Linked DNA regions of Mytilus edulis. Each later gene encodes a partner of the first gene's protein in a complex. Links are inferred from orthologs where the notes say so. Each region holds a gene or a part of one and is shown on either strand. Other genes may lie near its edges. The genes, in order: RNA transcription, translation and transport factor protein-like; protein archease-like.

The links.
Region 2: RNA transcription, translation and transport factor protein-like (region 1) and protein archease-like share a complex: the UniProt entries of both Homo sapiens proteins name them as parts of the tRNA-splicing ligase complex. The link is inferred for Mytilus edulis from reciprocal best matches to the Homo sapiens genes RTRAF and ZBTB8OS.

What each region holds. Positions count from the first base shown.
Region 1 is NC_092346.1:102,670,877-102,687,965, reverse strand, and holds the start of RNA transcription, translation and transport factor protein-like, read left to right. Parts: upstream 1-9,873; 5' UTR 9,874-9,984; coding exon 9,985-10,045; intron 10,046-13,163; coding exon 13,164-13,388; intron 13,389-15,623; coding exon 15,624-15,713; intron 15,714-17,089. UniProt on the Homo sapiens protein: RNA-binding protein involved in modulation of mRNA transcription by Polymerase II. Component of the tRNA-splicing ligase complex and is required for tRNA ligation.
Region 2 is NC_092355.1:81,404,951-81,421,637, reverse strand, and holds the start of protein archease-like, read left to right. Parts: upstream 1-8,626; 5' UTR 8,627-8,754; coding exon 8,755-8,800; intron 8,801-9,941; exon of another isoform or gene 9,942-10,043; coding exon of another isoform or gene 10,044-10,089; intron 10,090-11,880; coding exon 11,881-11,905; intron 11,906-13,921; coding exon 13,922-13,932; intron 13,933-14,488; coding exon 14,489-14,602; intron 14,603-16,687. Other genes in the region: uncharacterized protein, read right to left, coding at 386-498, 3,780-4,776, 8,482-8,553. UniProt on the Homo sapiens protein: Component of the tRNA-splicing ligase complex required to facilitate the enzymatic turnover of catalytic subunit RTCB. Together with DDX1, acts by facilitating the guanylylation of RTCB, a key intermediate step in tRNA ligation.

The DNA.
Region 1 (17,089 bases):
GTTATCATCTCATTATGCACAAGTTCAAGTTGAAGTAAAAAGAAAACAAGAAAAGTTGTACCTAGATTTTTAACATATTTGATAGGAATACCCATGAATATTTCAGTGCTGTAAAATTGCTGTAAAAATACCAAATCACACATTCTTGCATAATAATAATAATAATAATAATAATAATAATAATAATAATAATAATAATAATAATAATAATAATAATAATAATAATAAAAATAATAATAATAAATAATAATAATAATAATAATAATAATATTAATAATAATAATAATAATAATAATAATAATAATAATAATAATAATAATAATAATAATAATAATAATAATAATAATAATAATAATAATAATGTAAGGCATTGGAAGTACTTGTTATGATATTATAAATTCAGAAAAAGGAAATATTATTCTTTTAAACATAACGGTTGTGTTCTTACGCATAGTAACTTGGCTCGCACGAGCAAGTAAAACATTTTTTTAATCAAAGATATGGCATTAATTTACTATTTTTATGTATGGATTTCACAGGCCAAAGTTTCATTTTGTTGTTTACCAAATATAAAGGGGGGAAGCATTTCATTAGCTAAAACATAGTTTTACAAGTTAGGTGTGTACATATGTTAGTACTAGGGTGATAATTATCAAGTTTATCAAATTTTTAATGTGTAAAACACTGGAAGTGAAATGAATTTTTCATTTGTTTACATTTTTTGTTGTACAAGTGTTACGGCAGGGAATGTATGTAATTACTCATGGCTTACCTTCTACATGCTATATATCATGTAATTCCCGTATTAAGGATCATTTCTTGTAACCAAATATTCATATTTAAACGTCTAATATGCCTGATATACATAGGGAAATACTTCAATCGAATTGTTTATTTACGGAGACTTTGTCGTCTGCCATTTTGTGGGGACCGAAACATGTGTTTTGATATCTTTAAATACCAATTCGTCCCCTGGACATTTGATCTAATATTGTATTTTTAATACCACAGATAAGATTTTTAATAAGTATACCCTGCCGGACACAAATATATTGTAAATATTTAGATGGTTGAAATGAACTATGTTGTATGTTATTTACGTATTATGTAATAACGCAGATCGTCTGCTAAATCAATGCGCGCGCAGTGGTGTCCGATTGTTTATTTCAAGCTTCTTTATCGATATTTTAGATGCTATAGCTTTGTTTTGATATTTTATGTATAAGGACAATGTTCGGACAACTTAAGATGATATGTATATTATGTTTTTCATTATCTGAAATTTTTATAGTTCCGGCTTCCCGGAAAGGACAAGTTTCCATTGGATTAGTATGTCACGTGACAATAAGCCCTTTCACGATAAATCCCGAGCATGCGCATAAACGCTTCCGGACGGCAACTTGTTTACACTAGATACCAACATGGCGACCCGGGAAAGTTTAAATAAGTTAAATCTCAGTTCTTTAAAGATTCTTGCCGCGGAGCATAATATTGAAGTGGAAAAGAAGAAAAAGGAAAGGATAATTTCGGATATACTGACAGAACAAGTTCCTTCATCTACCTTAACACCGATTATCAAGCAGGCAGTCCTAGTAGGTGATGTGACGATTCCCAGTGAACAAAATGAAAACCTCCCGCCCTTCAATAGAGTGACTTACACCATCTGTGACCAAACCAAATTTCCAATAATCAAATTTGCAGATATTTATGATTTTATGGTAACAAGACCTACGTATTCAGTATATAAACGCGCGAGCACTCAGCAATGGCAGATAGCCCAAAGTTTTGCTGGCGGCAAGTTCAAACCTTGGAAAACAAATAAAGTAACTATAACCTTTAGGTGAGAATAAGGATAACATAATGAAGTTTAATGATATGTAATTAGCCGTCTTTTGTACAGTAAGCTATCTCCCACCACGTCGGACACCACAAATATGTATTTAAGGATTTATGATTCAGTACACTTGAACGCAACTGTTTATTTATATAGTTTTACGATGTTATAATGTTACATACTTTTAACAGTGAACAAATAAAAACTGTTAACATTGGAAAGATAACTTTATTTTATTGAACTTGGACACATACAAAAAGCACATGAATTTACACTGATGAAAACAATAGATGTTGGAGGACGCTCGTTCAAACATAAAAACTATGGAAAGCCGTTAGGAACAAAATTAGCTCAGTAACACTCGAATACAAGGGATTGCTCAATACATACATATTAAACATTCCGAAGACCATACCTGACAAGTAATTTGGGAAGTTTAATACAAATGTAGAGTTGCTACATGAGTCACACACTGTATTTAAGTGTTATTAAAGTAAACTACCGAGTATAGGACAGGATGCTCTCGGGTGGCTTACAATAATAATAATAATAAATTCTTTATTTCAAGACGGTAAGTCTAATTTTCATTAAGGCCCTCAAACAAAATACATGCATACACTTAAAATTCATACATTAAAATACAATATAAATTACAATATATATTACTAGTATATACACAATTCAATCATTCAAATATACAAATGGTAATAAATGGCAATACTTGATAAAGTCTTGTTAAAGGAAAACAAATTATTTGACTTGCATATAATTGTCAAGAAAATGATTTATAACAATGTTTCTTGAATAATTCCACATTACGACATTTTTTTTATTTCGAGTGGTAAATTATTCCATACTTTGGTTGCAGAATAATGAAAAGATTTTTTTATAAAAATTTGTATTTGGTCTTGGAACAAAAAGATCATTATTAGTAACAGATAGAAAACTCAGGGTTAGAATTTATAGAACAAAAAAGGGGCAGTGGCAAATATTTCATGTATATTTTGAACACAGAGAGAATTACGACGGCACGCTTTGCCAAAAAAAAACCCTTCTTTTTCTTATATGTGCCTTCGAACTTTATGTTTTGAATTGTATTTTCACTTTCCATATTCGGTATTTATTCTAATGTAAGCTCGACGTGGTAAAAATCACGTGTTGCAGTATCTTTGGGTTAGGCTATTTCTTTCTTTTTGGGCGTATACTCCAAGCAAACAACATGCATGTGTATATTAAACGGCACTGTAGATTTTCGTATTAAATAAAGAAAGTTGCCGGTCCGGTACATGAACAGATTGGTTAGAAAGCAAGGTTTTAATTTTAATTAGATTGGAAAGCTTAATTCGAGGGTTGAAATTAGAGGGCACAAAAAAAAAGGGGGGGCCACAGGGAATATTTTTATCTGATTAACTCTACATATGAAAGGTTTATTATTATTTTTATTTAATTAAAAGACAAAAACGAATGTAAAACAAATTGTGAATGGTCTTTCTACCTTTCTCCGGAGACAGATCCGTCATCGTAAGTTGTGGTGTTGCACATCATCAATATTTAGCATTGCTAAGTAATCAGGTGTTAGTCTATTTACAATTTTATACATTAGAATTGATTGTTGGTATTTTTTAATATTCTTTTGGTAAAAGATAGCCATTTTAAAGATGGAAACATGAAATTAGATGGAATAGAAATATCGCATTCCAGTATATTTCTTGCTACTCTTTTTTGAAGTTTTATGATTCTATCTGAATCTTTTTGTAAAAAATTTCCCCAAACTGAACTACAATAGTCTATATATGGTAGAATATATGCATTATAAAATAGTTGCCTTGTGTGTATTGGCAAATATACTTTAATTTTATATAAAAGTGATATTTTAGATGAGATAATTTTACATATATACGATCAACATGATCTTCCCAGCTTAAATTTTCATCAATGTCAATTCCAAGTAATTTGAAAGAATGGAAATTCTCAATGCATGTTTCGTTGACGGTAATACATAATTCTGATAGTTGTGTAAGTTTTTGTTTTGAACCTAAATTTATACGCTTTGTTTTTTGTGCATTGATTTTCATACTGTTATTGTTACACCAAGATTGTATAGCATTTAAATCATTTTGCAATATGCTGTTTATTTTTTCAATGTTTTTATCATGAAAATGCAATGTTGAATCATCAGCATATAAATTCATGTTGGATTGTATAACATGAAGTGGTAAGTCATTTATATATATCAAAAATAACAGCGGACCTAAAATAGAACCTTGACGCACTCCATACTTTACAAACGATTTATCAGATTTAATGTTGGCGTATTAGACTTGTTGTTGTCTTTCAGACAAATATGATTTTATTCAATCTATCATGTATTCTCCGATATGATAAAATTTTAACTTTTCTAAAAGTATGGCATGGGTAATAAGGTCAAAAGCCTTACTAAAATCTAAAAACACTGTACCAACTATTCCTCCATTATCTAAATATTTTAACCATTCGTCAATTAGTTTAGTTAGCGCTGTTCCTCAACAAATGTACATATATGCAATGTTATGTAAACTAATGTGTTTTTCTGTATACTACCTTTGTCCAACTTAGGTGATACCAGAACAAAATGATATATATGGCACGAATGACCTTGTCTGAAACCTGACTGGGCGATATGTAACAATTTTGTATTGTTTAGGAATTCATATAACTGTGTGAAACATGTCTCTCGAAAATTTTAGATATGGTATTTAAAATAGAAATTGGACGATAATTTGAGGGAATATCTCTTGGTCCTCCTTTATGTATAGCAGTTACTCTGGCAAGTTTTAATTTTTGCGGAAAACGATTTGAAGTTATACTTTTGTTTATTAAAAAAGTTAATGATGGCGATATTATTTCTGCACATAGCTTTAAAAAAATTGGGACCAATTCCATTTAAACCTGTGGATTTATTAATATTAAGATGTTTTAGTTGAGAACACACCTCTCCAACAGACATGAGTTTTAAAAAAATTTCAGTTTTCTTTAATTTTTTACCAGTAAAATTTTGTAGCATAGAAAAATCAATATCTGAAGTATTATTTCCAATAAGTTTTTCAGCTACGGATGAAAAATAAACATTAAGGATGTACTTAGGTGAGGTTAGGTGAAAATTAATAAATTGAGAAGTTAAAATTGATACTATAAGCTGGTAGAGCATCAATTAAGGATAAAAATAAGCTAAACATATTGATAGGTCATGGACCTCCTTTACGAAATATTTGAGATTTAAAATATGGCGGGAAAAGGCTGACTCGGGCTTTTACCTTATATTTGCATTGGTATTATTAGGTCTCAAAGCAAAAGAAAGAAAATTAAGAATCTTCTGAAATTTGGTAAATGACCTTTCATGAGCTATTAAGTCTTAAATGAAAAAATAAATGGGTGTTATGGGGCAAAATATTTTACATTGTATTGTATGGAAAAACACCAAGGGGTCCGAACATTTGACACAAATTCCAAAACCTCACCTAAGTACATCTATAATACTAAAATTACGAGGTCCAATTTGTCAGCCGTCATCACGTAAAAACGACGAATCACAGAATTCAACTTTATATATAACTAATATAGTACAAAGGTGTAGGTTAAAAATTTTGTTTTCCACGTATTAAATTAATATTGCCAATAATGAAGAAGTTCCGGGTCGAGTCCGCTACCGATACCAATAGTATATTCACCTGTTACCTATTACCTTATCTGTACGTTCCGCATCTGACAGGCGCACCACCAAACGTTGTATTCAGGATTAATATGCTATATACACGGGTCATAACCACAGGGTTGACACTACTAAATTGTCAAATTGTTACCTATTGTTGTATTTTAATCAGTTAGACTTTCTAAGATAACAATACGAATACTAAAAATCTGGACTAAAAATAAGGCGTATCAGTAGGTACAGTTTTCAATTTGTTAGTGGGCATGACGTAAAACAGCGAGGCAAAGAATTCAACTTTACTTAAAACTTATATAGGACAATGCTGTTGATTAAAAAATACTCCATTCCAGGACCTTTTGTTTTCCAAATAATTAATATTACCAATAATTGATAAGTTCCAGTTCGACGGGTTCAAACAGATAGACTTGAAAGCAGAGAAAAACTGTGTATCTTATAATCGGCACGACTTTAACAGATGACAATAATAATACTAAAATAAGGCTTGCGCATAGTTATATACTTTAATTCAATCACGGACCCGTGATATCACGGGTGTGTTCTAGTCCTTATAAAGAGTATTTACAATATCTTGGTTTTTATAAACAGTTTGATTTTCATACTGCATTTTAGTTGGAAAAAATATTATCCTCTTTTGGATTTTACTCTTTAATATGATTCCAAAGTTCTTTACTATTTTTGGAACTAGTTATAGTTTTGGTAATATTCCTTTTTTGCATTAAAGAGGGGGGCAAGGGGGGTCCCCATAACAGCAAAACAGTGAATTGATTTGGTGAAAAACAGATAACAAGGAATTGAAAAGGGATAATAACAGATAACAGTAAATGAAATATGAAAATAAATCTGCCCAGGACCAATCCAGTAGATGACTCGTAGATCTTAGTATATAACTTGTGGTATGGACCTAGAAAATTGTAATTTGTGTAAACAAGACGTTTCGGCCGTTGAGGCAGTTCTGCCTTGGTTGATTTTTTCCGTAACTTGTACAATAAGTTATAGTATGATTGTTGAATTTTTCTAAACGAAATTACTAGTTTCTGTTTTTGATATAGGGAAATTTTTAATCTAGGGCATTTTTGGGATCAATTGTTAATGATTTAGGTTTTTTTATTTAATTTTTGAAAATAGTGCAGCCAGTGACACTTTATTATCAAATTGATTTTTAGATTTTTTTTCTTCTGAAAAGCAATATACATACTTTACAAGTAATAAAAAAAACCATTGATGCACAATATATTTTTTTTATTTAATGACCTCATGATAAAACTTACTTATAAAATACAAAAATACCCAGATCAGTTGAGACAGGACATGTAACTGAAACACGCATGCCAGTTATGGTTCTTCTGATAATAGAAATTGCCTCAAGTGACAATTCTGATAGGATAATAGAATTTGGACCGAGTGAAAATTTGGATGACACCAAGTGAAACACCAATCATGCATCTTATGTGAAATTATAGAATATGGAAAATTTGGGTACAGCATTGGAGAAGCTGTAGGATTTTTAAAAGGGTATTTGTTGAAAAATTAAACTGAAGACACATCTTTATTTGCATCAATGGTTTCAGAGCTTCAATTTTCGCCATGTGAAGCAGTTAAAAAGCTTTTAAAAATATGGTGGTCAGGGTTCTCTTTCATGTAAATGAAAATAGGGGGGAGTAGCACTTATAATATAAATGCTAAAAGAAAAAGATGTTGTATAATTTCAAAAGTCATAATTCAAACCCATACCACTTAGTAATATAAAACAATTCAAAGGAGAAAACTAACTGCCTAATTTATCCACAAAATAGTGAACGAGAAACTTAGTATACAGTAACAATCTACAATCACTGAATCCAGGATCCTGACTTGAAAGTAGGCACATACAGAATGTGATTGCGTCAACGTTAGCATGCTAGTTGGTGTCCAATCCTCCCCTAATCAGGAACAGTGTTGAAACAGTACAACATAAACATTATTATGTGGTCATTGAATAAAAAAAATCTATAGGGTGTTGGGTGTTCCAATGCTTTTTTTATAACAAAATCCATACTATAAGTTAATGTACAAGTAATAATTAAGTGAATTATAATTTGTACAAAATGCTACATGTTCACAGACAATGGAATTTATTACAAAGTATAATAATAATATATACTGGAATGGTCCTGGGTCCAATTGATTTTAATATGTTTATGTGATGTCAATCTAATTAAAAACCGATCTCTCATCGCTCCTGTTTCTGTTATGTCGCGTCCCACGCGACATATCAGAAACAGGAGCGATGAGAGATCGGTTTTTAATAAGATTGATGTGATGTATGTTACTGAAATTCTTCTGCAAATACAGGGCCACCCGATATTACCAGTAGAAAGACCCCAACAGATATACATTGTAAGAAGGTGTGGTAAGCGTGCCAATGAGATTATTATCCATTCAAATTACAATTTTCAATTATCTTCAAATTCTACGGAAGATTGGCTGTCAAAATGCTAACATTCCAATTTTCAATAACAGTTAACAGCAAATACATTCTCACAATAACAGATAACAAAATAGATAATAGTCCTATAACAGCTAACAAAGAATAAGACAATAACAGCTAACAGTAAATATATTTTCAGAATAACAGATAACAAAGAATTAAAATGCCCCATAACAGCATAACAGTTAAACCCCTTGCCCCCCTCATTAAATCAAGGACGTATATTAAGTTGTATATATACGTCCTTGATTAAATATTAACGACGTTGTTTTATTACTCCACTTTTTAAAGTTTACCCAATCTTTTTTTGAATGATACATATTCCTATATTGAATAGAATTTTTAATTTCTTCATTGAACCATTCGGCTTGTTTAAATGTTTTTATTCTTTTAGTTTTCATTGGTGCATGCTTGTTAATAACTTGATTAAAAAGTTCATACCATTTGTCAACAGCAATATCAATATCATCTTCCATTTCAACAATATGAAAAGGGGTTTGATGTAAGTCTGTACAAAAGGCATCTTCATTAAATTTTTTGAAACACCTATACTTTATTTCGACACGATTTTCTTTCTTTATCTTTATATTGATTTTTCTATTCAAGCATACAGGATATGGTCATATGAAGGAACATGACAATGGGCAATATTTTCAGGATTAGTAGTGTAAATCTGATCAATTAGAGTTTCCGATTTGTCACCGTGAAATACGTGTTGCAGTGCAAATTTGTTGTTGAAGATTAAAATTGTTTATGAAATTCATCCATTTTTTATTCTCAATTTTTATCAAGTCAATATTAAAGTCCCCCATTAAATTTATCTCTTTGTTTTCTGAAAGAGCTGCATTAAATTCCTCCTCAAAAAGATCTATCCAGGACTGAGGGGAATTTGGTGGTCTATAAATACTGAGTACAAATGAAGAAAGGTTTAGATTTTTGAAATTCTACCTCTAACCATAAAGTTTCTAATGTATTAATGGATAAATCAGCTCTATTTTTAACTGCAATAAAATCTTTGACATAAACCAAATGGCCACCAACATCCTTACTCTGGCGATCTTTTCTGAAATTTTTTATCCTGGCACTTTATATTGTTCAATGTTAATATTAACTCGAATAATTCAAGCCCTTTCCGTGTCCGATTTTCTCCGACACATGTAGCCTTCGTAGATTTTAAGAATGTATCAACTAAGGGAGCTACCATTTGATTTTTAGGGGGGGGGGGGGGGGGCTAGGATGAAATTTGAAAAAAATAGGCAGGACAGGAGTTTTGAGTTAAAAAAAAAGGCAGGATGAGACACTTTGCAAAAAAAAAAAGGCAGGATGACCATTTAGGTAAAAAAAAGTCAGGATAAACTAATAAGAAAAAAATGCAGGACCGAATAGAGTGAAAAATAAAAAGGCAGGACAGAGATTACAACTAAAAAAAATGCAGGACAAAATTTTTCATCCTAGCCCAACCCCATAAAAATCAAATGGTAGCTCCCTAACCCAAATAAATCTAGATATTTGTTGTTTATAGTAATTATATTTTTTAACTCGTCAAATTTAGATAGAATATGTCTAACATTAAGGCATACAGCATTGAAACCTTTACATTTTATTAAGACAGTTTGTTTGATAATGTTTGTTTCTATAACTTTTAGGTTTTGAGCTGAAGCTATTAGCACATATACCATTTCCTGATTTATGACAATTTTCTCTAGAACTTTTGCATCAGGCCTTACCTTCATAAATATATTTGAAACAGCAGCTTTCATACAAACATTCATCAACCTCTAATTGTGGTAGTTTGGGTATGCTTACGGTACATCGATGTCCTTCCATTAGGTTTCTCTTTAAGGGAAATAACTCAAATAACTCATGTGCACAATTGACTGGTTTATGATGAAAACTGAAACCAGACCACAAAGTGTGGAAACGTTGTCGTTGGAAACTTTTACTTTATTTTTTCTGTAACCTGTTAGCTAAATTATGTACAAAAGAAAACTCTTAGCTTTAGATTATCCTCAACCAGAGACGTTTAATCCCGAAGGTAGGGTATTGTATAGGGCTTAGAACAGTTTGTTTTTATAAGATGCAGCACCGATGAGACCGGTGCCCAGCCGTGTTTCTCTCCGTGTACTTCGGCTTCCTCCTCCATAATATCAATGTCCTGTATCATTACACCCCCTGGTAATTGGGTAACGGATTGTCCGTGGTGGTGAATTGTGTATAAGTTCCTGAAGTTAGTGATACACCTTAATTAATCCTTAAATCAATATCAATGCCAAAATGGGGAGTGTACACAGATTCTACTGTACCCAATGTTCGACCATACTTGTTTAGACAATACCATTGCTATCGTCTACTGTACTGTCATTTGGGCCACACTTTGTTAAGTCGTTTCAACCATGGGTTTTGTATCGCCTGCTTTGAAAGTCCCAGAATACAAGATACACAATTACAATCTGGCAGAGGTAACCACAACTGCGTAAATTATGTGTCATAAAAGCTTTATACTTCAGAAGTAAGAAACTATCCATAAACTATTTTAATGCCCCTGCGGTAGCAGAGGGGGCATTAAGTTTTACCCTTGTCCATCTGTGCGTCCATCCATCAGTCCATACATTCCTAAATTGGTTTGCGTTTTCTAACTTAAATAGTTTGTCTCAACCAAATGTATTGAAACTTATACACATTGTCTCAACCAAATGTATTGAAACTTATACACATTGCTTATTACCAAAAAAACACAGGTCAAGACTAAATTTTGGTGGTGTCACTTATACAGTTCAAGAGTTATGTCCTTTTAGAAAATCAAAATGTCTGTTCTGAAAATATAAAAGTTCATTTTTAAAATATCTTTGAAAATTGGAGTTATCTTTCTTTGTCCAGAATGGTAGTTAAATCAACCAATGGTCCGTGACCACAATTATTTCGTAGTGCATTTCTTTTAGAACATAAATGAAAAATTAAAAAATCCCACCTGCGCTTTCTCAATGAAAATTTTAAAGTGTGTTGTACTACTTTTGGGATAAATTATATTAAAATTACAGAAAACTTCATCGACTCTAACTCAAAATATGGACAATTTTATGTTTAGGGCGTCTTGAAATCTTTTGACAGCTTCTGAAGTGCTTATTTTAAACCTTTTTTAACTGGACCAAATCACTACTTTCCTTTAAAATTCTGGACCCAAATTTTTACCCCCCTACTTGCAATTTGAGGTATTAAACATGGAGAAATAAATTTTTAAGGAGTATAAAAATTAATGGCAAGTAACCCACTGTCAACACTATGGACTATATTTGTGGACAACGAAAATCAAGGGACGACAATTGTGGTCTTGGACCCAATGCTTTATTCATTTTTACTTCCAACTGATAAATTAAAGCAATCTTTACAAATCAGTGCTTACTGTTGTCAGGTCATTAAAGATTGCATATTTTGGCGTTAATATTGATTCACTTATAGGGTCTTTGCATCGGAACTAAACACATTTATTAAAAAACCATTTGTTGGCATGACACGGGTTATGTTCTTCTCATATATGTTATGATGGTATGATACTAAACCCCTAACGGGAAGGATTGTGCCTGATGTTCATATGATGAAATCATAATCTTTCAGTCAGTTTAATTGAAGTCTGGAGCTGGCATGTCAGTTAACTGCTAGTAGTCTGTTGTTATTTATGTATAATTGTCATTTTGTTTATTTTCTTTGGTTACATCTTATGACATCAGACTCGGACTTCTCTTGAACTGAATTTTAATGTGCGTATTGTTATGCGTTTACTTTTCTACATTGGCTAGAGGTATAGGGGGAGGGTTGAGATCTCACAAACATGTTTAACCCTGCCGCATTTTTGCACCTGTCCCAAGTCAGGAGCCTCTGGCCTTTGTTAGTCTTGTATTATTTTAATTTTAGTTTCTTGTGTACAATTTGGAAATTAGTATGGCGTTCATTATCACTGAACTAGTATATATTTGTTTAGGGGCCAGCTGAAGGACGCCTCCGGTGCGGGAATTTTTCGCTACATTGAAGACCTGTTGGTGACCTTCTGCTGTTGGTTTTTTTCTATGGTCAGGTTGTTGTCTCTTTGGCACATTCCCCATTTCCATTCTCAATTTTATTACAAGCACTTTGATTACCATTCAAGGGTTATGCCCCTTTACAAATGGAAAAATTACTAAATTTTTTCATTTCCATTCTCTCACTTTAAAAGTTTGTCTCAACTAAATTTACTGAAATGTATATACATGTATAATGCTTATTACCACTAAACTCAGTTTAAGTTCAAATTTTGGCAGCTTCACTTTTACAGTTCATGAGTTATGTCCCTTTATAATGTTAAACGCTAGTGGGGGCATCATCTGTGTCCCTATGGACACATTCCCCATTTATTTTGTACTTCAGAGATTCTACAAATGTTTTTGTATACTTCGTCCTGAAGATGCTGATCTAATGCTGATCTAATCGGGGTAGCATGTTGATCGATAAAAGATGCGGTTTTCTTAAGTGCTGCTGTCAATTTTGATAGCAGTATTTATGATATTTATTTCACAGTGGTTGGATACAAGAATTTTTTGGATGAAAAATGAACCTTGAAATAGATAGTTAGGAATGGAAATGCAAAGACTCAAATCAAGCAAAAGCTTTATACATAAATGTATTTGGCATGTCACATAACAATAACATAAGTTCTTTGGGGTGTTATAATCAACTATCTATTATGACTGTTTTAAGTCATACAGGTAACTGTACACTCTCAATGATTTACTTGTAAAAAAAACCCAGAAAACAGTAGTCTACAAAATACAACAAAGAAAAATAAAGACTGAGCAATACAAAAACCTGGGTAGATCGCATGTGCTCCTAAAGGAAAATTGGAACGCATCCTTCTGTGAAACAAGTCGTAAATTATGTTTTAATATTATGTTTGCACACAATACATTGTACATGTTCATGTACATTTCTTCTGTAGCTTCCCCTTGCAGACATTTTCCTAAATATAATGATAAAATTTTTAAATGACAAGTCTTAGAATTGTACTTGAAATTTGAATAGATCCTGGGGTACATTTGTACATGTAGTTGTTAGCTCCTAATACTAAAAGTTACATTGGCAATAGACAGTAATATAATATATTACTTAAAATTAATATTTTTCAGATGAGAACTACTTTAGAAATTTTATTGTTTGGTTGGAAGACCAGAAAATCCGACATTATAAGATTGAAGATAGGACAGGGCTACGTAACATGCCTAGCAGTGATTGGACAAAACATTTTCAGCAGTATTTAGAGGATTTAGGATGTCCTTACCAACCATCCCAAAGATCTTTATTAATTGATTGGATATTAGGATATTCAGTCAGATTAGAATATGGTGATAATGGTAAGAAATACAGATATAGATTGGAATTAGAATATTGGCCAAGTTGGGAGAATGGTACTAAGTAATGGCAATTTCTGAGAAAAGTCTCTGGCTGGAAGAAAAGTGTATTTATATTAATTTGAATAATCTTTCCTGGCATTGACATAAAAATACCATTTTACACACTCTATATTTTCCCGACAAATTGGATATGTGCAACAAACAGCCTTACAGAAATACCCACAAAGAATATATTTTCCATACATATGTAAATACATTCTGTTTATACCAAAATAACTTTTTATGCCCCACCTACGTTAGTAGAGGGGCATTATGTTTTCTGGTCTGGACGTCTGTTCATCCGTCTGTCTGTTTGTTCGTCCGTTCGTCCCGCTTCAGGTTAAAGTTTTTGGTCAAGGTAGTTTTTGATGAAGTTGAAGTCCAATCAACTTGAAACTTAGTACACATGTTCCTTATGATATGATCTTTCTAATTTTAATGCCAAATAAGAGTTTTGACCCCAATTTCACGGTCAACTGAACATAGAAAATGATAGTGCAAGTGGGACATCCGTGTACTGGGGACACATTCTTGTTGGGTAAAGCTTTTGCTCATATTTAAATATTTGAAAGATAAGATCTCAAAATGAGGCTATTTTGGTAGTTATGTTATTGATTGATGGATACTTGACAGTTTATGCATTTTTGCACAAATTTCAAGAAGAATTAACTGAAAAAATATTAAAGATGACTCATAACTGTAAATGTTGATGGGCAATGGAGAAAGTATAAGGTCTCTTTTTTGCTTCTTGAATCAAAAATAAAAAAAAGTATCACAAATCTACCAGATAACATATACAATTACAATGTCTTAATGAGGGGAAACTAGAACATTATAATAATGAGAAAACGTGGTATGATTTTTAATACAAGACAACTATCCACCAAAGTTAAATATGTTCAAATGGTGTGGATGCATTTATTCAAAAAAAATAAAATAAATGTTTTAAATCTAATCTCACCTATCTATACTATTAAACGAGAAGACCTCATTTTTGGTGTCGCTTCTCTCCTTTCCACAATAAATTAATCAACACGCCTCTGTGTCCTATAGGTACAGTGCATAGTCGCATTTGTCATCCATTCATATGATTATTCAGATTGAGTTATTTTGGGAGAAAAACGAGAAAAAAGGCATCCGGATATTGTCCCGTCATTGGACAAAATTTTAAGTCAGATAAGACTTCCGGTTTGCGTTTTTCTGTATACTTTGAACATACATAACCGTACATACATATACAAAGAATAAAGTGTATTTTCAGAATTCTATTTGCTATCATTTTCAAGTTTACTATCCACGGCGGTCACAGAGTTTCTTAAATAGAGAGGGTCTGTATACTATATCAATGACCACCATGGATCGATATTGAAAGTAAATACACTATATTTTTAGAGTAATGACTCGATGATGTTCATAATATACAGATAAGCGCTAAAAATATTCATGTGAACTTTTGATACCTTTTCTGAAATTCTCCAGTCATTAAATCTTTTACAAAATTCATTGATTACAAAAAAAAGAAGATGTGGTATGATTGCCATGTTGAGACAACTCTCCACAAGAGACCAATATGACACAGAAATTAACAACTACAGGTCACCGTACGACCTTCAAAAACGAGCAAAGCCCATACCGCATACTCAGCTTCAAAGGCCCCGAACTGACAATGTAAAACAATTCAAACCAGAAAACTAGCGGCCTTATTTATGTACAAAAAGTGAACGAAAAACAAATATGTAACACATAAACAAACGACTGAATTACAGGCTCCTTACTTAAATGTTCATTACATACTAAATGAAAGAGGGACGAAAGATACCAAAGGGACAGTCAAACTCATAAATCTAAATGAAAACTATGTTCATATTGAAATTGATAGAAAACCAAAAATTGGGAATTTTGGAAATAAAGGAGGAGGGATGAAAAATAAAAAGCATTTTCCTGTCCCAAATAACCTATATATGACTTATGATACTTTTGCTGAAATTCTCCAGTCATTCAATATTTTACAAAATTCTTCCAACAACACTTTACATACTTTAAACTACGCTCTAAATGCCCGCGATTTCGCGGGTGTGTTCTAGTAGAATTTAAAGAGAAAAGAACTTAAAATATCTTGATCATGTTGATGAAAAATTATGAAATATTTAATTTTTTGAAAACTGAAATGTATGTCATAAATGTATTTTATTTCAGTTGACCAGTATAAAACAGTTACACCAGAGAAAGTTACACAAAGTAAAGCACCCCCTGGGGTCTCTTCAAATCCATTAGATAATTTAGATTGTAAGTATCAGTAGGTTTTGTAGGAATTACATGTATAATTCATTTAATCGGTATTGAAGACTGTGACAGGCAATATCATCACAGTTCCTTTAGTTTGCCTCAAATGTTATGAAACTAATACACAATGCTTATTACCACAATACTCATATCAAGTATACATTTGGGTAGCGTTGAATTTACTGTTCTTAAGTTATGTCCCTTTATAACAATATTGTCTTATCATCAGTCAATCTGGAAACGTTAAAAGAAATCGTTTCTTTAAAGCAACGAGGCCAAATAATAGTGAAGTCTCGTACTGTTTTCTAATGTTCCTCTAGAATAAACATCATGGTTACTGTTGCTGAAAATAAAACATAAATTTTGTACCTTCCTTTTATATTATTCAGCTTTTTTATGGAAGAATGATTTGATATTTGGTCTGGGACTTTATCTTTTTGAGTTTTAGTGTCTTTCAATGATTATTTTACTCACAGTGTTTGAAAATTTCCTTGATTATTACTCATTAAGGTTTTCTGTGTTAAAGATTTTTAAGAACTTTAATGCAGCTATTTCCTGTTTGTCAGTTCTTTTAAGTTTTATTATTTCTACTTACAAAAATGTAGCATGAAATTTTTGCTGAAAAGACAACTATCCAACTGAGTCCAAATGAGGCTGATACAACTATAGGTCATGTGGCAATCAGTAACATATCTCTAAATAAGCAACAGTTTCTGATTTTTGGTATACAATTGCTTTTAAGCAATCTGTAGACTTATACCATTGACTCAGGGCCATGCCCTCACATCAACCGTTTTATTCTAAACATCAAGGAACATCTCAGATTCTTGAGATTGTCTTGCTTTAAATGGTATAAAAAAACAGAAGGATTGAATTTAAACAACTGTCCTATAATGTTCTTCTCATAATCTTCATGTGCGGGTATTTCCCTTGACTTGTATGTGTGTTTTTAACAACACGGAAAATCAGAATTAAGCACTATTTATATTTAGTGTTTTTTATAAATTTAGAAACAGGTCAGAGGGAATTCCCCATTTTTAGCTCACCTGGCCCGAAGGGCCAAGTGAGCTTTTCCCATCACTTTGCGTCCGGCTTCGTCCGGTGTCGTTTACTTTTACAAAAATCTTCTCCTCTGAAACTACTGGGCCAAATTGAACCAAACTTGGCCACAATCAACATTGGGGTATCTAGTTTAAAAAATGTGTGGCGTGACCCGGCCAACCAACCAAGATGGCCGCCATGGCTAAAAATAGAACATAGGGGTAAAATGGGGTTTTTGGCTTATAACTCAAAAACCAAAGCATTTAGAGCAAATCCGACAGGGGTAAAATTGTTTATCAGGTCAAGATCTATCTGCCCTCTAATTTTCAGATGAATCG
Region 2 (16,687 bases), on another chromosome or scaffold:
AAAGTTCGATTAATTACATGTTCTAACTAATTAACAACAAGAGGATTAGATGTCAGAGTTATATATATAATATATCTGATTGGTTTACACGTCACCCTATTTTCTTTGTTGGTCAGCAGATTCTACGTCCAAGATGAGCATATATATATCTGATGTCTCATGACATTAATGACATTAATTACATTAATCACATGTTCTAATTCAAGAGCACCTGACGGAGTTCATCCACTCCCCCCTCCCCCCCTCTCCCTTATCAAATTTCATGATTTCATTGACTTGATTCAAGTGTTTCTGTTTAGAAGATTTAAGATGCATGTTGAATTAAATCCGACTTGAAATTAGAAATTAAAAAAACCCCAGTAAATATATATTTGTTTATATTTACATTTTTCCTGCTATCAATAGCCTGCTGTACCCATAGTAACTCCATAGCAACATTTTTCCTCATCCCTCTCAAGGCCTCAGGATCATTGGGGTATGCAGTATTAGCTGAATTATCTAAATAAAAAAAACATACTAGGTGTTTATATCTTTGTTCAATCATGTTGTTTTGGCAGCTTAACCATTTGATGTTTTAATTTTACATGTGACTACTTTCCTTTGATCAAAACTTCACAGTTATTCAGATATCCTATACACATTGCAGGGCTCACACTACTTCAGAATCAAAGGGAGAAGTGACCTCTCTTTTTAAAACTGATAGGAAGAAGTGGTGAGATTTGAAAGAGATTGTATATTACAGGTTTAATTTCCTGGTTTTGTCTCTTAATAGGATTTCATGCATTTGAATTGTCCAGGTATTGTTTTCATTCATCATCTAAATATTGAATTGAGTCATGTCATAATGTAATAATATCAAACAAAGATGCTAATCCCCTGTTATTTTAAGTATGTTCAACCATACAAACCCCTGTCACATGTGTCTTAAACAATGTTAAATATTTTCATCCCTTGTTATCTTGAATATATGTTTTTTTCAAATATGTATGTCATGTACATGTACGTGATAGTCAATAAAGACTCAATATGTATGTCATGTACATGTACGTGATAGTCAATATGTATGTCATGTACATGTACGTGATAGTCAATATGTATGTCATGTACATGTACGTGATAGTCAATATGTATGTCATGTACATGATCGTGATAGTCAATATGTATGTCATGTACATGTTCGTGATAGTCAATATGTATGTCATGTCATGTACATGTACGTGATAGTCAATATGTATGTCATGTACATGTACGTGATAGTCAATATGTATGTCATGTACATGTACGTGATAGTCAATATGTATGTCATGTACATGTACGTGAAAGTCAATATGTGTGTCATGTACATGTACGTGATAGTCAATATGTGTGTCATGTACATGTACATGATAGTCAATATGTATGTCATGTACATGTACGTGATAGTCAATATGTATGTCATGTACATGTACGTGATAGTCAATATGTATGTCATGTACATGTAGGTGATAGTCGCTTTATTTGGTTTAAACACTAACAAGCAATGTTTTGGTTTAATTTGGGTCTGATTTGTTGCAACTATTCCACCACTGTTGCATTTTTTTTATAACAATTCATTGACATTGCTTGTCAGCATTTTATTTTCCCAAGTATGGTAAATGGTTTAGAACAAAATGTTGTTTTAGTCATGATTTATAAGAATGAAGTGTGAGTCAGACTCTGCTTCAGTATCATCCCATTGTTGTCATAGTGATGATTTATAAGAATGAAGTGTGAGTCAGACTCTATAAGAATGAAGTGTGAGTCAGTTGTCATAGTCATGATTTATAAGAATGAAGTGTGAGTCAGACTCTATAAGAATGAAGTGTGAGTCAGTTGTCATAGTCATGATTTATAAGAATGAAGTGTGAGTCAGACTCTGCTTCAGTATCATCCCATTGTTGTCATAGTCATGATTTATAAGAATGAAGTGTGAGTCAGACTCTGCTTCAGTATCATCCCATTGTTGTCATAGTCATGATTTATAAGAATGAAGTGTGAGTCAGACTCTGCTTCAGTATCATCCCATTGTTGTCATAGTCATGATTTATAAGAATGAAGTGTGAGTCAGACTCTGCTTCAGTATAAGAATGAAGTGTGAGTCAGACTCTGCTTCAGTATAAGAATGAAGTGTGAGTCAGACTCTATAAGAATGAAGTGTGAGTCAGACTCTATAAGAATGAAGTGTGAGTCAGACTCTATAAGAATGAAGTGTGAGTCAGACTCTATAAGAATGAAGTGTGAGTCAGACTCTATAAGAATGAAGTGTGAGTTCAGTATCATCCCATTCTATATCAGAAGCAAGTTTGGCAATGCGTAATTTTTTTATCGATGATACCACCTGTATGTTTAGCACTCGCATTTGTTTTGTCACAGCTAACAACTGAATATTTAGGTTCCCTTTGAGGCCACAAACAATTTAACATGTTGTAGTTTTGTTGTTTGAACAGCAAGCAGTAGACTTTCTTTCAGAGCAATATAAATATGAAACTCCTGTTAAATAATACTTTATTTACATGTAGCCATGGGTTCTTACGGAGTTGTAGCCTTCTCAATTAATAATTGTATATAGGGAATTGATTATCTGACTTGCATACTTTAAAACATCCGCAAATCAGTCTGTTGTCAACCGTTTAACAGAATATATAGCTTTACTACTTGCTGTGTTGTTTTTCTGTCTCACCGACTCATGGTTTGCCAAATTTTTTTTTATTAACTGGTCCCTTATGTCAGTGATATTGTTGTCTTTTTTCAAAACTACCTCTACCGTTTTTTATTGGGAAAAATGCATATTTTTTATTGAATTTGGGAAATTTGTATTTTTTATTCTTAACACATTTCCGATTTTTTGCTGAACTTTGCTGTCTTTTTTGCACTGTTTTTTCATGCATATTTTGGTTGTCATACATTTTCAACCTGAAAGGTACTTTTCAGAGGGGGGAAAGAAACCAAAACAATGATGGTACTTAATGCATTGAAAACCACATGTGTTACAAACACCATGATGATTCTGATCAGAACACTGGATCTCAAAAGTGCTTTCTAATATCAAAATAATAACATGAATACGAAATTTACAAACATTACTACCAATGCCATCACTGTTTTGGGAAAATGTTAAAAAATTTGGGAGGAATTTTAAGCCCTTTTTTTTAGTAATTGGGAATTTTCTCTAGGGGAAAAGGCCGAATTTCGGCTGTAATTTGAGGCAAACAATATCACTGTATGTTTACCAGCCATACAGCTTTCAGTAATAGATCAGTGTTCTCCCCAGGCCGTTTTAGCATCGCGGTACCGCGACGCTATATTTTCTTCCTGTGACGCTATAATTATTTCCACGACGCTATAATTATTTTCAGGATGTTATTTTTCTTGTTTCTTTATGGCAAAGCCATGTCTTAAATTTTAAACTTTCATCTTATTACCGCTTGTGATAAAAAAAAATGTATCACCTTTAATTGAATCCCCTCAAGTCAGACAATAGGGGCAATATAGAGTAATTAAATAAGTAATTCCTTCCAACAGGGACCCAGATCAGTAATTTAATGTAACACTCTATTTTAAGACAAAAATAGAATTCCAAACTTTGATATTATAAAAATAGATTTATAAGAAAACAATTTATAGATAAATATAAATGACGAACATGAGAGAGGCAGGTAGTGTTTAGAACACAGATTTGACTTATAATTTGGATGAGGTTGTTGAGTAAACAGTATCTCAGTACATTGATTTTTCCTATTTTTTCACCTGCATTTACTTACCTTTACAATCAGAGCTAAAGCTATCCCATACTGAAGTCACATTAGTTAATACAGAGGATTCTTGATGATAGCTTGGATGTCTTCCTCTTTGAGATTCCATTACAGAAGATAATTGAACTGTCTCCTGTTTAGGAGAACCTCCAAATTCTAGTGCAGGAATAGGACCTACTTTCTGACCCAGTTGTGAAGGAGTTTTGTTATTTTGAGGAGATGTTTTCCTTGAATCTTGTACAGAGTCTTTCAGTGATATATCGTTCAGTGTCCGTAGTTGGTTTTCAAACTTGTTGATCTTTTGTTCCAATATTTGTCTATTTGTAGTGTGAACTTGTGTGCTCCCCTTTTCTGTCTGTGTGTCTATATTTGTTTCTTCCTTGTAACAAGGTAGATCATCAGTCTGAATCAACATATCATATGTTCTAACTGGATTTTGTTGTCCAGTTGTCTCCCTTGTTCGTTGTTCAGTTGTCTCCCTTGTTTGTTGTCCAATTTTCTCCCTTGGATTGTTATTTTGGTGTGTTTCTACCACTGATATAGTTTCTTCGTCCATACTAGTTTGTGTTTCAATGGTGCAACTGTTGATTTTATTTGTTAATGCTTGATGGGAGAAATTAGAAATAACTCCTGATTTTCCCTGTGATTCTGTATGGTATGGAACAACAGGTTTAAAGGGAGTTTCAGAGAAATCACTTGAGTTGGAACTTCTTGCAGAATTTATCTGATGAACTTCTGTCGTGTCTTTTGATTTGGCATGAATTTCATGATATTTTATAGAGCTTCTCAGAGATTCAATATTTGGTGAGTTACGTGCTGAGACATTAGGAGTAACTTCTCCAACATTTCTCTTTAGCTTGTGTTTCCTGACTCTGGGCTTGCCCAGTGCTGCATGTGGCCATTCCACAATGACTGATTTACTTTTTTCAATATCAGAAACTATCTTTTCATACTCTGATTGCATTCCTTTAAACCATTTTCTGACTATGACTCCTCTGATCCATGCCTAAAAGTAAAACAAAATTCTTTTATCTGTAATTTTCCCCGTCTTTTTCATGTGAAAAATCTGTAAACCAACAAATTAAAAAACCCTGGCCTTAGTTTAAAAGCACAAAAATTTGTAAGGGTTCAGCGGAACCCAGTGTCTCGCCTTCTTTTGCTATAAGTCACAGACTCAACCTAGATGGTGAAAAATTATTAAAAATTTCCGCTGGATATTATCTTTTGATTTGAAGAAGCTTCTGTGAGTTTGGTTTATGAATCTAAATTTTTTTTTTAATTTTTTAACTGCAAACTGTACATGCTGCATGTAATGTTATCTTGAAAAAAACTAAGTCCATTTATACATTTGTTATAAGTACAATGAAGTAACAACAGAAAACAGGATTTTTTTTTAACAAAATGTCCTTGTAGACGTATTTACTATCATTTGGTCATAAACAAGCTTCTGTCCAAGTTAGGTACAAATTCAGGATAGATAAGAAAAATTTGTAATTAAAAAAACCTTAACCATAGAGTGAATGTAATCTTAACTGGCAGAAAAAACAACATGCACACATGAAAACAGTTAATCTTTTTGAGGCTTAACAAGAATGTGTCCATAGAACACAGATACCCCACTCACATTTTCTGTTTGATAACACAAATATAAATTGTACAAAACTTTGATTTTCCTTATTGTTCTTCATCCCATAAATTTTAGAATTGTAAAATGGGTAAAAAAGGGCTAACTGCGAGTGAGAAAAATATGTCAGTATGTTTATTAGGACAATCATATGAACAGCATTGTATTAACATTGTAATGTTTGATTCGGCCACACAAAACATGATTAACACATTTTGTAACAGGCCTCGACAATAACGCTTGTCTGATTGTCTGGTACCAGAGGGAAAAAAGGTCAGACAGTAAAAGCTGTATCAAGCTTGTCCGTTGGGGCAAGTGCAATTATTCTGCAGAAAATAAGTTTAATCCAATTTTGATGAACAAAGTAATAATAAACAAAAAACAAGAAAACAAATATTAATTTGACAAGTTTCTGTATTCTGTTTATTCAAGTGCAAAACCTTTTTCTTCGACATGTTTACTAATGCAATCGATAATTTTTAACTGGTTCTTTGTCAAGTACTTTTTAACAGGTAAAAGGTATACTATTCTTACTAATCCGAATCAATGATGCGCTTTGTAGATAAGATAACTTTACAGGACAGTAAGTTCGTCACCTCGTCACCTCGAAAGATTCAGCTCCAAGTTCAATAGACAGTTTGGCACAGTGGGAGACATATTTAGTAGACATGGTTGATAGACAGTTTGACATGGCAGGAGACATTTTGAGACCAAGACAAATCAGTACCTCATTTTGCTACCTTATTCTGTTCCTTATAATAAATACCATACCCGCAATTTTTTTCACAAAAATATTTATTTTTAATAGAATTTTTTTGGACAAGTAACAATTTCATTCGGACAAGTAAGTTTTGGTATGTACTTGTCCTACAGGACAAGTTGAAAAAAAAACTATTGTAGAGGCCTGTAAAAGGGAATATACATTGTATATTGTATAAAACAATGATTTAAGTTGATTCAACTACTATTCTGGACAAAGAAAGATAACTCCAGTTGAAAAAAAAGCTATTGTAGAGGCCTGATTAACCCTGCCACATTTTTGCACCCTTCCCAAGTCCATGAAGTCAGGAGCCTCTGGCCTTGTAAGTCTTGTATGTTTTCTTATTTTAGTTCATTTATAAAAGTGTTTTGGATAGGTATAGGAAGTTGTGGTGTGAGTGCCAATGAGACAACTCTCCTGGCATCCAAATAACAATTTAAAAAAATAAACCCATTATAGGTCAATGTAAGTCCTTCAACACGGAGCCATTTAATTTCCTTCTAGATATTATATTTTGATCATAACAAGTTTCTATCCAAGTTTAGTACAAATCCAGGATTGTTTAAGAAAGTTATTAAAATTTAAAAAACCTTTAACAACAGACATGACAGAGTGAATTTGTATTGTTTCCTGGCAGAAAAACTAAGTCAATTTTAAATTAAAATATGGAAAAAAACAAATTATTTTTTTAACAAATTTACTTCTAAATACTATTTATGATCATAAACAAGTTTCTGTCCAAGTTTGGTACAAATCCAGGATAGTTTAAGAAAGTTATTAATATTTTAAAAACTTTAACTGGTCCCAGAGTGAATGCCATGTAATGTTTACCACATCATGCACATGTACACAATCATGTACAAGTGTAAAGCAAAATATTGTCCTATGAAATATTGTACCACAAGACAATATTTCATAACTATGTAGCATGAAATATTGTGCTCGTCTATGGAAAAATGTCCAGAGAAGGACAAATTTTCATAGCGAAATTTTGTCTGTATAAAGACCATATTTCTCAGATAAATGTTATGGAATTTTGTCTTGTTAAAGGGAGGTTATATTTTGTGTGAATTGAGGCAATATTTCACAGATAAATACTATGAAATTATGTCCTATTAAAGGAAGGTTATATTTTGGTTATATTTTGTGGGTATTGAGACAATATTTCATAGACAGATTGTCATGGAATTTTGTCTCATGAAGGGGAGGTTATTAACATATATATTCATGTTAGAGAAGCCTCAAGGTATATAGGATTTTTTTCCTGCAACACATGCTTGTGTATAAATTTACAAAATAAGTGATTGTCAGTTCATTACTTATATTTGTACAGTATACTGTAATAAAATGAAACATGCGTAAGACAATTCTTTAATCTATAATACATGTACATGTAAACCATTTGTAATGTATCTATATGCAAATTTAAAACTCACTATTAGTAATTATATAAATTCCTTGCTATTCAAAACAATTTCAGTTATAAATCTAAAAATGTGCATGCTGCATGCTTGTGTACTATTTCTAATTGTATAATAATTTGATTAAAAATTATTTTCAAAGCCAGTATTTCATAGTGTAGTATTGTCATGAACAGAATTTCATAGTGAAATATTGTCCAGAAGGAGGTGACAAAATTTCATGGACAAGGACAATATTTCATATTATTTATTATGAAATACTGTCAGTGGACAATATTCTATATGAAATTTTGTCCGAAAGACAATATTTCATGGGGGACAATATTTTATGTTACACTAGCAGCAAAACTTTACAATTAAAATACGAAAAAAATAGAAATTTTATTTTTGCAAAATTTACTTCTGGATACTATCTTATGATCATATTAAAACAAGCGTCTGTCCAAATTTGGTAGAATGCTATGTCTGGCTTTTGCTAGCAAAAATGAGTCCTACACAGAAACAGAACCGGGTCCTATCGCCCAAAAACATGATCACACCAATTCACATTCTCTCCCTTTAACTCTCGCACCCTCGATTGCGCCCTTTTTATTGGTGTTGTGTTTATTAATATTATGTTATTGTTTAGGGGTCAGCTTAGTCAGTTATAGTCCAAGTCATAATTATTTGGACTAGGGTCAGCTGCAGAATTTTCTCACTGTGTCGAAGACATATTGGTGGCAGTCCATTGGGCATTTGCCATTTCTATTCTCAATTACTAATACTATATAGTATAATTTAGTCAAATAAAGGCCATTCTGACTACGGAGGCGATTTTCCTCCTTACAGTTACTGTCGGGTTTTTTCTTTTCTACTGCAGTAGTAATGTCAGGATTCTGAACACAACAAAAGTAAAATATTAAAGACCTGGATCTTAACAACATGTTGTTCATCAATTTCTAAATCTTCAAATTCACCACTATCTTCGCTGTCTTCCATGTTGGAACAAATATCGTATCTATGTCTCTGATTGGTCAATTCGGACGGAAGTTCATTCGGAACAAGGCTTCTAAATTTAGCACAGGGGTTTTACGTTGATAATAACACTCTTGTTCATTGCACAATATTTATTCTACGACCAAGTATATATATACAAGTACACATATTGTATGTGACAAAAACGATAAAAACACGTCAAAGATGGCAGGTGGTGATCAAAGAATAATTCCAGACATCAAATATGAGTGTAAGACAAATAGTTTATAAAACAAGATAACTCGTACTTTCGGCAAGTCGTACTCAACCAACTCGTACCCTATTTTTACCAACTCGTAACCATGTTTTATTTGATATTATTTATCAAGTTTATATGCATAGTTATTGTAACTTTCTTTCGTATATCATTAAATTGAGCACATCAAATGGACCAGAGTGATACCGTATTTTTGATAATGTCCACTACGAAACGGGTCAAATCTCCTTCAGTATCTGGTTTTAAAATTATGAAAATAATATCAGTGTACAGCTTGATAAATGCTTTGACGAATACAATCAGTCTTGTTACGATTGCAATATAGGGATTGTGGGAAAAAAATAAAACATGCGAATACGTCCCTTACGAAACGGTCCCCTACGAAACAAGTATGGAAGAAAAACGTTTCGTAGTGGACACTACCACTCCCATGCATTCTTTTTTTAATCTTTTTTCAATTATATTCGTGCAAAACAAATAACAAGGGTAAGTTTCATGTAATTTTTATTATGTGTTTATTAACATATGATAGGGTTGATGTCAACTACGAAACTTTTTGTCCACTACGAAACGGTTTTGTCCACTACGAAACGCATCAAAATGTCCACTACGTAACATAAGTTGAACCTTCATATGTGAAGTACTGTCTAATCTTTATCGATAAAAATGGTTTTCCAATTCAGAAAAAAATGATATTTTTCTAGTATTTAAAGTAAACAAACTGGAATGTTTATAGGAAACATTTAAAATTGCAAAAAACATGTGTGTTTAGAAGACGTTTCGTAGGGGACAAAAGTCCCCTACGAAACAGTACACAAATTATGAAAATAATATCATTTTAAAGAATATTTAAGATTGCACTTAACACGAAAAAAACTAAGACATAACGCAATGTTCAGTAAAAAATATCCTTTTCATATTCTATGGATCTACATGTACCTCAGGGTGCACTGGGATACTTCAGGGAGTTAAAATATCCATTTCTACGGATATAAACGAAGAAAACTTATATTATAATGCTAAAAAAATATTGGGTGCGACTTAGTAGAAGTACGAGTTGGTAGAAGTACGAGTTGCCGAAAGTACGAGTTGGCTGAGTACGAGTTGCCGAAAGTACGAGTTGACATGTATCCGATAATAACACTCTTGTTCATTGCACAATATTTATTCTACGACCAAGTATATATATACAAGTACACATATTGTATGTGACAAAAACGATAAAAACACGTCAAATATGGCAGGTGGTGATCAAAGAATAATTCCAGACATCAAATATGAGTGTAAGACAAATAGTTTATAAAACAAGATATAATTTTAAAAGAGTCAAGAGGGTTGTAAATGTTAACTTGTACATGTTGTAAGGTGGTCTCATTGGGGAGTTCTGATCTCAGAACCCCCTTACTATTTTGTCAGATTCACGTATTCTGCTTACACTATGTATGTAAGCAATTCTCTTTTTTTTTTGGAATTTCCTGTGTCCCGCTGGCGCTAGACCTCATTTCCAATTTTCGCGGCACAATAATTTGACTTTCATGTGTCACGCTTCCAAAAATCAGCAATCCTGCATCACGCAGAGACCCCAATGAGACCCACTTGCAATGTGGGTATGACGAATAACGGTAAAAATTCTTTCTAAATAACGTTGATGCATACATGTGACAGAGTTGTCAAGCCACAACTGGAGATTTGGAAATTTTCAGCTGGAGTTTTGGTCTCATAACTGGAGATTTTTTATCAACCTTTTTATTGACGTACGCAATGGTTTTTTTTGTGTGTTAAACACCTGCATATCAATTTTTACTTGATAAAAATAAAAGATAAGAGGTTTTCAAATATTTATTCATTATGTATAATTCAAGATAAAGTGATCAGTCATCCTACATGGTTCTGAAAAGCGGGAGATTTTGACTCCCGCCAGTAGAATCACATGTATGTTGATGGTAATTTTTGGTGCATGAAAATAGAATGTACACTTTCTATTAGAAAACAAACAAGTCCTACTGATCATGCTGATTCTGAATCATCACGTTAAATATTTTCCAAAAATGAGGCAAATGAAAATAATAAATTATTTGAGATTTCTAACAAATCATGTTTAGGATATTTTGAAGAATCATGGTAAAATTGTTTATAATTTGACACTAACGGTTGCCAAAAATGACTGTTTGATGCCTGACAATAAAGGGCATTACTACTCTCTTACAAGCCACAACTTGGCACAATTAAGGCGGTGGCTATGCTTAAAATGAAAAATGTAACAATAATGAAAAGGTTATATAGGGGGGGGGGGGGGGGGGGGACAATACCTTTTTGTGTTAACCTGTTATTTTCAAGGTGTTGTTAACTGTTATCTGAGATCAATTTAAGCTGTTAACTGTTTTTTTAACCAACTTTGTTAACTGTTGTCCACATTTTTGCATTTTTTGTTAACAGTTTTTGCCAAAATCGAGGTGTTGTTAACATGTTAATGGACCCCCTATTGTCCTCCCTCTATATAGCATCCTGGTAAACAGGAGAAATTGAAATACCATCTTGTTTCTAAAAATTAAAGCATCACATGTACATCCATAACATAATATATAAGAAAACCTCTTCCATGACTTCAGATAACATCACATTTAAGATTATAGCATCACATTATCATGATGCTAAAAGGCCCTGTGGAAAACACTGATTGTGTAGTTACATGTACACCGAACATGCCTAATATACCCATTTTATTTACACATATACATGTAATATACACATTGTTAATCTTACATGTCTTACTTACACATATATCCACATTGTTAGTTACACATACTGTAAAATCAGAAATTTTCGTGGGAGATTTAATTTTGTTTTATATTTCTTGGAAAGAATATCTCCACCAAATTAAAACCCCTACAAAGATTAACCTCTTTATCATACCACTTACATTTAAGGAAACTACACAATTAAATCCCCATGGAATCTTATGGAGAGACAAAACCACTAAATTTTAACCCCACAAAAATTAATGTTTCTACAGTACATACACATTGTTAGTAACACATGTATACACATTGTAATAAGTTTGTATTTGTTTTCAGATCTAGATCATACAGCTGATGTGCAGTGAGTATAACCATTAACTGAGTTAAACAAACCTTTAACTGAGTTACACAAACCGTTAACTGAGTTACACAAACCTTTAACAGAGTTACACAAACCTTTAACTGAGTTACACAAACCTTTAACAGAGTTACACAAACTGTTAACTGAGTTACACAAACCTTTAACAGAGTTACACAAACCTTTAACTGAGTTACACAAACCTTTAACTGAGTTACACAAACCAAGTTACACAAACCTTTAACTGAGTTACATAAACCAAGTTACACAAATATTTAACTGAGTTACACAAACCTTTAACTGAGTTACACAAACCTTTAACTGAGTTACACAAACCAAGTTACACAAACCTTTAACTGAGTTACATAAACCAAGTTACACAAATATTTAACTGAGTTACACAAACCTTTAACAGAGTTACACATATCTTTAACTGAGTTACATAAACCAAGTTACACAAATCTTTAACTGAGTTACACAAACCTTTAACTGAGTTACACAAACCTTTAACTGAGTTACACAAACCTTAAACTGAGTTACACAAACCTTTAACTGAGTTACACAGACTGTTAACTGAGTTACACAAACCTTTCACTGAGTTACACAAACCTTTAACAGAGTTACAAAAACCTTTAACTGAGTTACACAAACTGTTAACTGAGTTACACAAACCTTTAACTGAGTTACACAAACTGTTAACTGAGTTACACAAACCTTTAACTGAGTTACACAAACCTTAAACAGAGTTACACAAACCTTAAACAGAGTTACACAAATCTTTAACTGAGTTACACAAACCTTTAACTGAGTTACACAAACTGTTAACTGAGTTACACAAACCTTTAACTGAGTTACACAAACCTTTAACCGAGTTACACAAACCTTTAACTGAGTTACACAAACCTTTAACTGAGTTACACAAACCTTTAACTGAGTTACACAAACTGTTAACTGAGTTACACAAACCTTTAACTGAGTTACACAAACTGTTAACTGAGTTACACAAACCTTTAACTGAGTTACACAAACCTTTAACTGAGTTACACAAACTGTTAACTGAGTTACACAAACCTTTAACTGAGTTACACAAACTTTTAACTGAGTTACATAAACCTTTGACTGAGTTACACAAACCCAGTTACACAAACCTTTAACTGAGTTACACAAACCTTTAACTGAGTTACACAAACTGTTAACTGAGTTACACAAACCTTTAACTGAGTAACACAAACCTTTAACTGAGTTACACAAACCTTTAACTGAGTTACACAAACCTTTAACTGAGTTACATAAACCTTAAAATGAGTTACACAAACCAAGTTACACAAACCTTTAACTGATTTACACAAACCTTTAACTGAGTTACACAAGCTGTTAACTGAGTTACACAAACCTTTAACTGAGTTACACAAACTGTTAACTGAGTTACACAAACCTTTAACTGAGTTACACAAACCTTTAACTGAGTTACACAAACCTTTAACCGAGTTACACAAACCTTTAACCGAGTTACACAAACCTTAAACTGAGTTACACAAACCTTTAACCGAGTTACACAAACCTTTAACCGAGTTACACAAACCTTTAACTGAGTTACACAAAACTTTAACTGAGTTACACAAACCTTTAACAGAGTTACACAATCAAACCAAGTTACACAACATGCACAAACCTTTAAAAGAGTTACACAAACTTTAACTGAGTAACACACACCGAGTTACACTAACCTTTAACCGAGTAACTCAAACCGAGTTACATAAACCTTTAACTGAGTTGACAAAAATATTCTGAATCCAGATTTCCTCATACCTTATACATGTTAAAGCGTTAAATTTTGAAAAAATAATTTGATTGATAACATTGAAAAAAATAAAGGAAAAAATATTTGTGCTTAGTGTGATAAAAATTTCTGACTCAGACAAAAAGACAAAAATCTATAAGCATTGATTCATTTTGTAAGTGAATATTAACCATGTTAACATGATAAAAAGTCATTAATTATTTATATATATGTTTTAGGTTGCATGCATGTATCCTTTTGTTACCCAACAATATAAATAAATCACAGGTAATGAGAGTGTATGTAGTATATCATAGGTATGGACAGATATATTTGGTTGTTTAATGAATTATGTAATACATCTGAATCTTCATGCACAGAAATCAATAGAGAAAATGTGGGAGAAGTTATTAATCAAATGCAGATGCTATACACCAGAAAAAAGATGGCTAGATAATACCCCATGTAATGCTAATATTTCTGACGAAAGTGATCATGATTATTGCATTAATTCTAAAGTCTGAACGATGCCTCCAGTTTTTTTAATAATTTATAGATCACTTTTAACTCATTATGCAGACATCTCAAATAGAAATGTAATTCTATATTGCAGTTAAAATAAATGTTTTTAATTGTCTACATACGAATATGCATGTAACAAGTCAGGAATATGACAGTTTTTATCCATTCATTTGATACGTGAGAAGGTTATGATTTTGCCATTTGATTAGGGACTTTCGGTTTTGAGAATTTTCCTAGTAGTTCAGTATTTTGTTGTTATTTTTTCCTTAACTTGAGATTTTCAGGGGGAGATAATTTAAAAGAAGCATTTGAACAATGTGCAACAGCCATGTTTGGTTATATGACAACAGACTACAGTCGGGTAGAAATGACAGACACACAGGAAATAGAAGTGGAAGGTAAGGTCATGACACCAGACTACAGTCTCGTAAAATGACAGACACACTTAGGTCGTATTGTGCATTATCGCTGTTTTACAAAAATTTTACATTTATTTTATTGACTTATAATTCTTTTCTCAGCACAGTAGAGTGATATGAAAAATTATCGCCAGTAATTATGGGCGCACATGCTGTTGTCAAAGAAATAGACAACGTTGTTTTTGGTAATATAGCAATAAACAGATTAGCATTGGTCATCTTAGCTTGATTGCTTTTCTCACTTTCCCTGTACCAGCTCAAGCTAGAAAATCTATCTTGTTGTTTTGACCAGAGATAATCTATAAGTATGAGTATGTATGAAGAAGACTTTAAGGATGTACTTATGTGAGGTTTTGGAATTTGTGTCAAATGTTCGGACTCCTTGGTGTTTTTCCTTACAATACAATGTAAAATATTTTGCCCCATAACACCCATTTATTTTTTCATATAAGACTTAGAAGCTCATGAAAGGTCATTTACCAAAATTTAAGAAGATTCTTAATTTTCTTTCTTTTGTTTTGAGAACTAATAATACCAATGCAAATATAAGGTAAAAGTCAGAGTCAGCCTTTTCCCGCCATATTTTAAATCTCAAATATCTCGAAAAGAAGGTCCATGACCTATCAATATTTTTAGCTTATTTTTATCCTTAATTGATGCTCTACCAGCTTATAGAATCAATTTTAACTTCTTAATTTATTAATTTTTACCTAACCTCACCTAAGTACATCCTTAAGACCTCAATTGTTAATGCAGAAGTCAGCACTTTAATCATGTTAATGTTTTCATCCATCACACAAAACCAGTACATGTAAAGAAGACTTTAAGCTGAAGGACGCCTCCGGGTGCGGGAATTTCTCGCTACATTGAAGACCTGTTGGTGACCCTCTGCTGTTGTTTTTTAATTGGTCTGGTTGTTGTCTCTTTGACACATTCCCCATTTCCATTCTCAATTTTATTTAAGACCTCAATTGTTAATACAGAAGTCAGCACTTTAATCTTGTTAATGTTTTCATCCATCACACAAAACCAGTACATGTAAAGAAGACTTTAAGACCTCAATTGTTAATACAGAAGTCAGCACTTTAATCTTGTTAATGTTTTCATCCATCACTCAAAATCAGTACATGTAAAGAAGACTTTAAGACCTCAATTGTTAATACAGAAGTCAGCACTTTAATCATGTTAATGTTTTCATCCATCACACAAAATCAGTACATGTAAAGAAGACTTTAAGACCTCAATTGTTAATGCAGAAGTCAGCACTTTAATCATGTTAATGTTTTCATCCATCACACAAAACCAGTACATGTAAACAGGGGCGTAGCTACCCGGAAGCACGACAGCACGTACATCCACGTCGTTTTCACAAAACAAACAAAAAAACAAAAACAAAAAAGCAGAAGAGAGAAGGATGAGTTGGTCAATCGGAATCGGAGACTGTTGGTGTCTTTTCCGTCTATCGCGGATATTAGTTTGACAATCTAGTTACAAGTGTTGATGAAGCTGTTCATTCAGAAAAAGATTGTAGGTCCGAAGTTGCGTTCACATTGATTTGGCATTCAAAAAAGAAATGGCAAAATAAAAATTTATAAATTGAATGTTAATAAGGGAAACACCTATGTCGTCACTTTTTTTAATTGATGAAATATCATTAAATAACGACATTTGGTTTCATAATAAATTTTTTTTTTGAGATTATGACAAAATCGGAAGGTAACTTGTATCTTTTACAAGATTTTTACTTTTGAATTTGTAATACTCAGTCTAAGAATAAAGATATGTAGTTTTGGAGCACATTTTACAGTGTACAGTTCATCAGTTGGGAATGAGATGTACCAATCGGCATTAATTATCAGATCCCTTCGATATCGTTGAAAATATGCCAAGGCGATGTGGTTGACAAACTACCGGAGACAATCACCCTGCAACCACGCCAAAACAGTATTGGAAAGTCTCATTATTTTTTGCGTTTATATACCATTTGATAAGGCCACTGGACAGTGGAGTCGCATCAAGTTATCAGAAAATCGCTTCTTTGTGCTGTATCTGCTTCATCGTGTT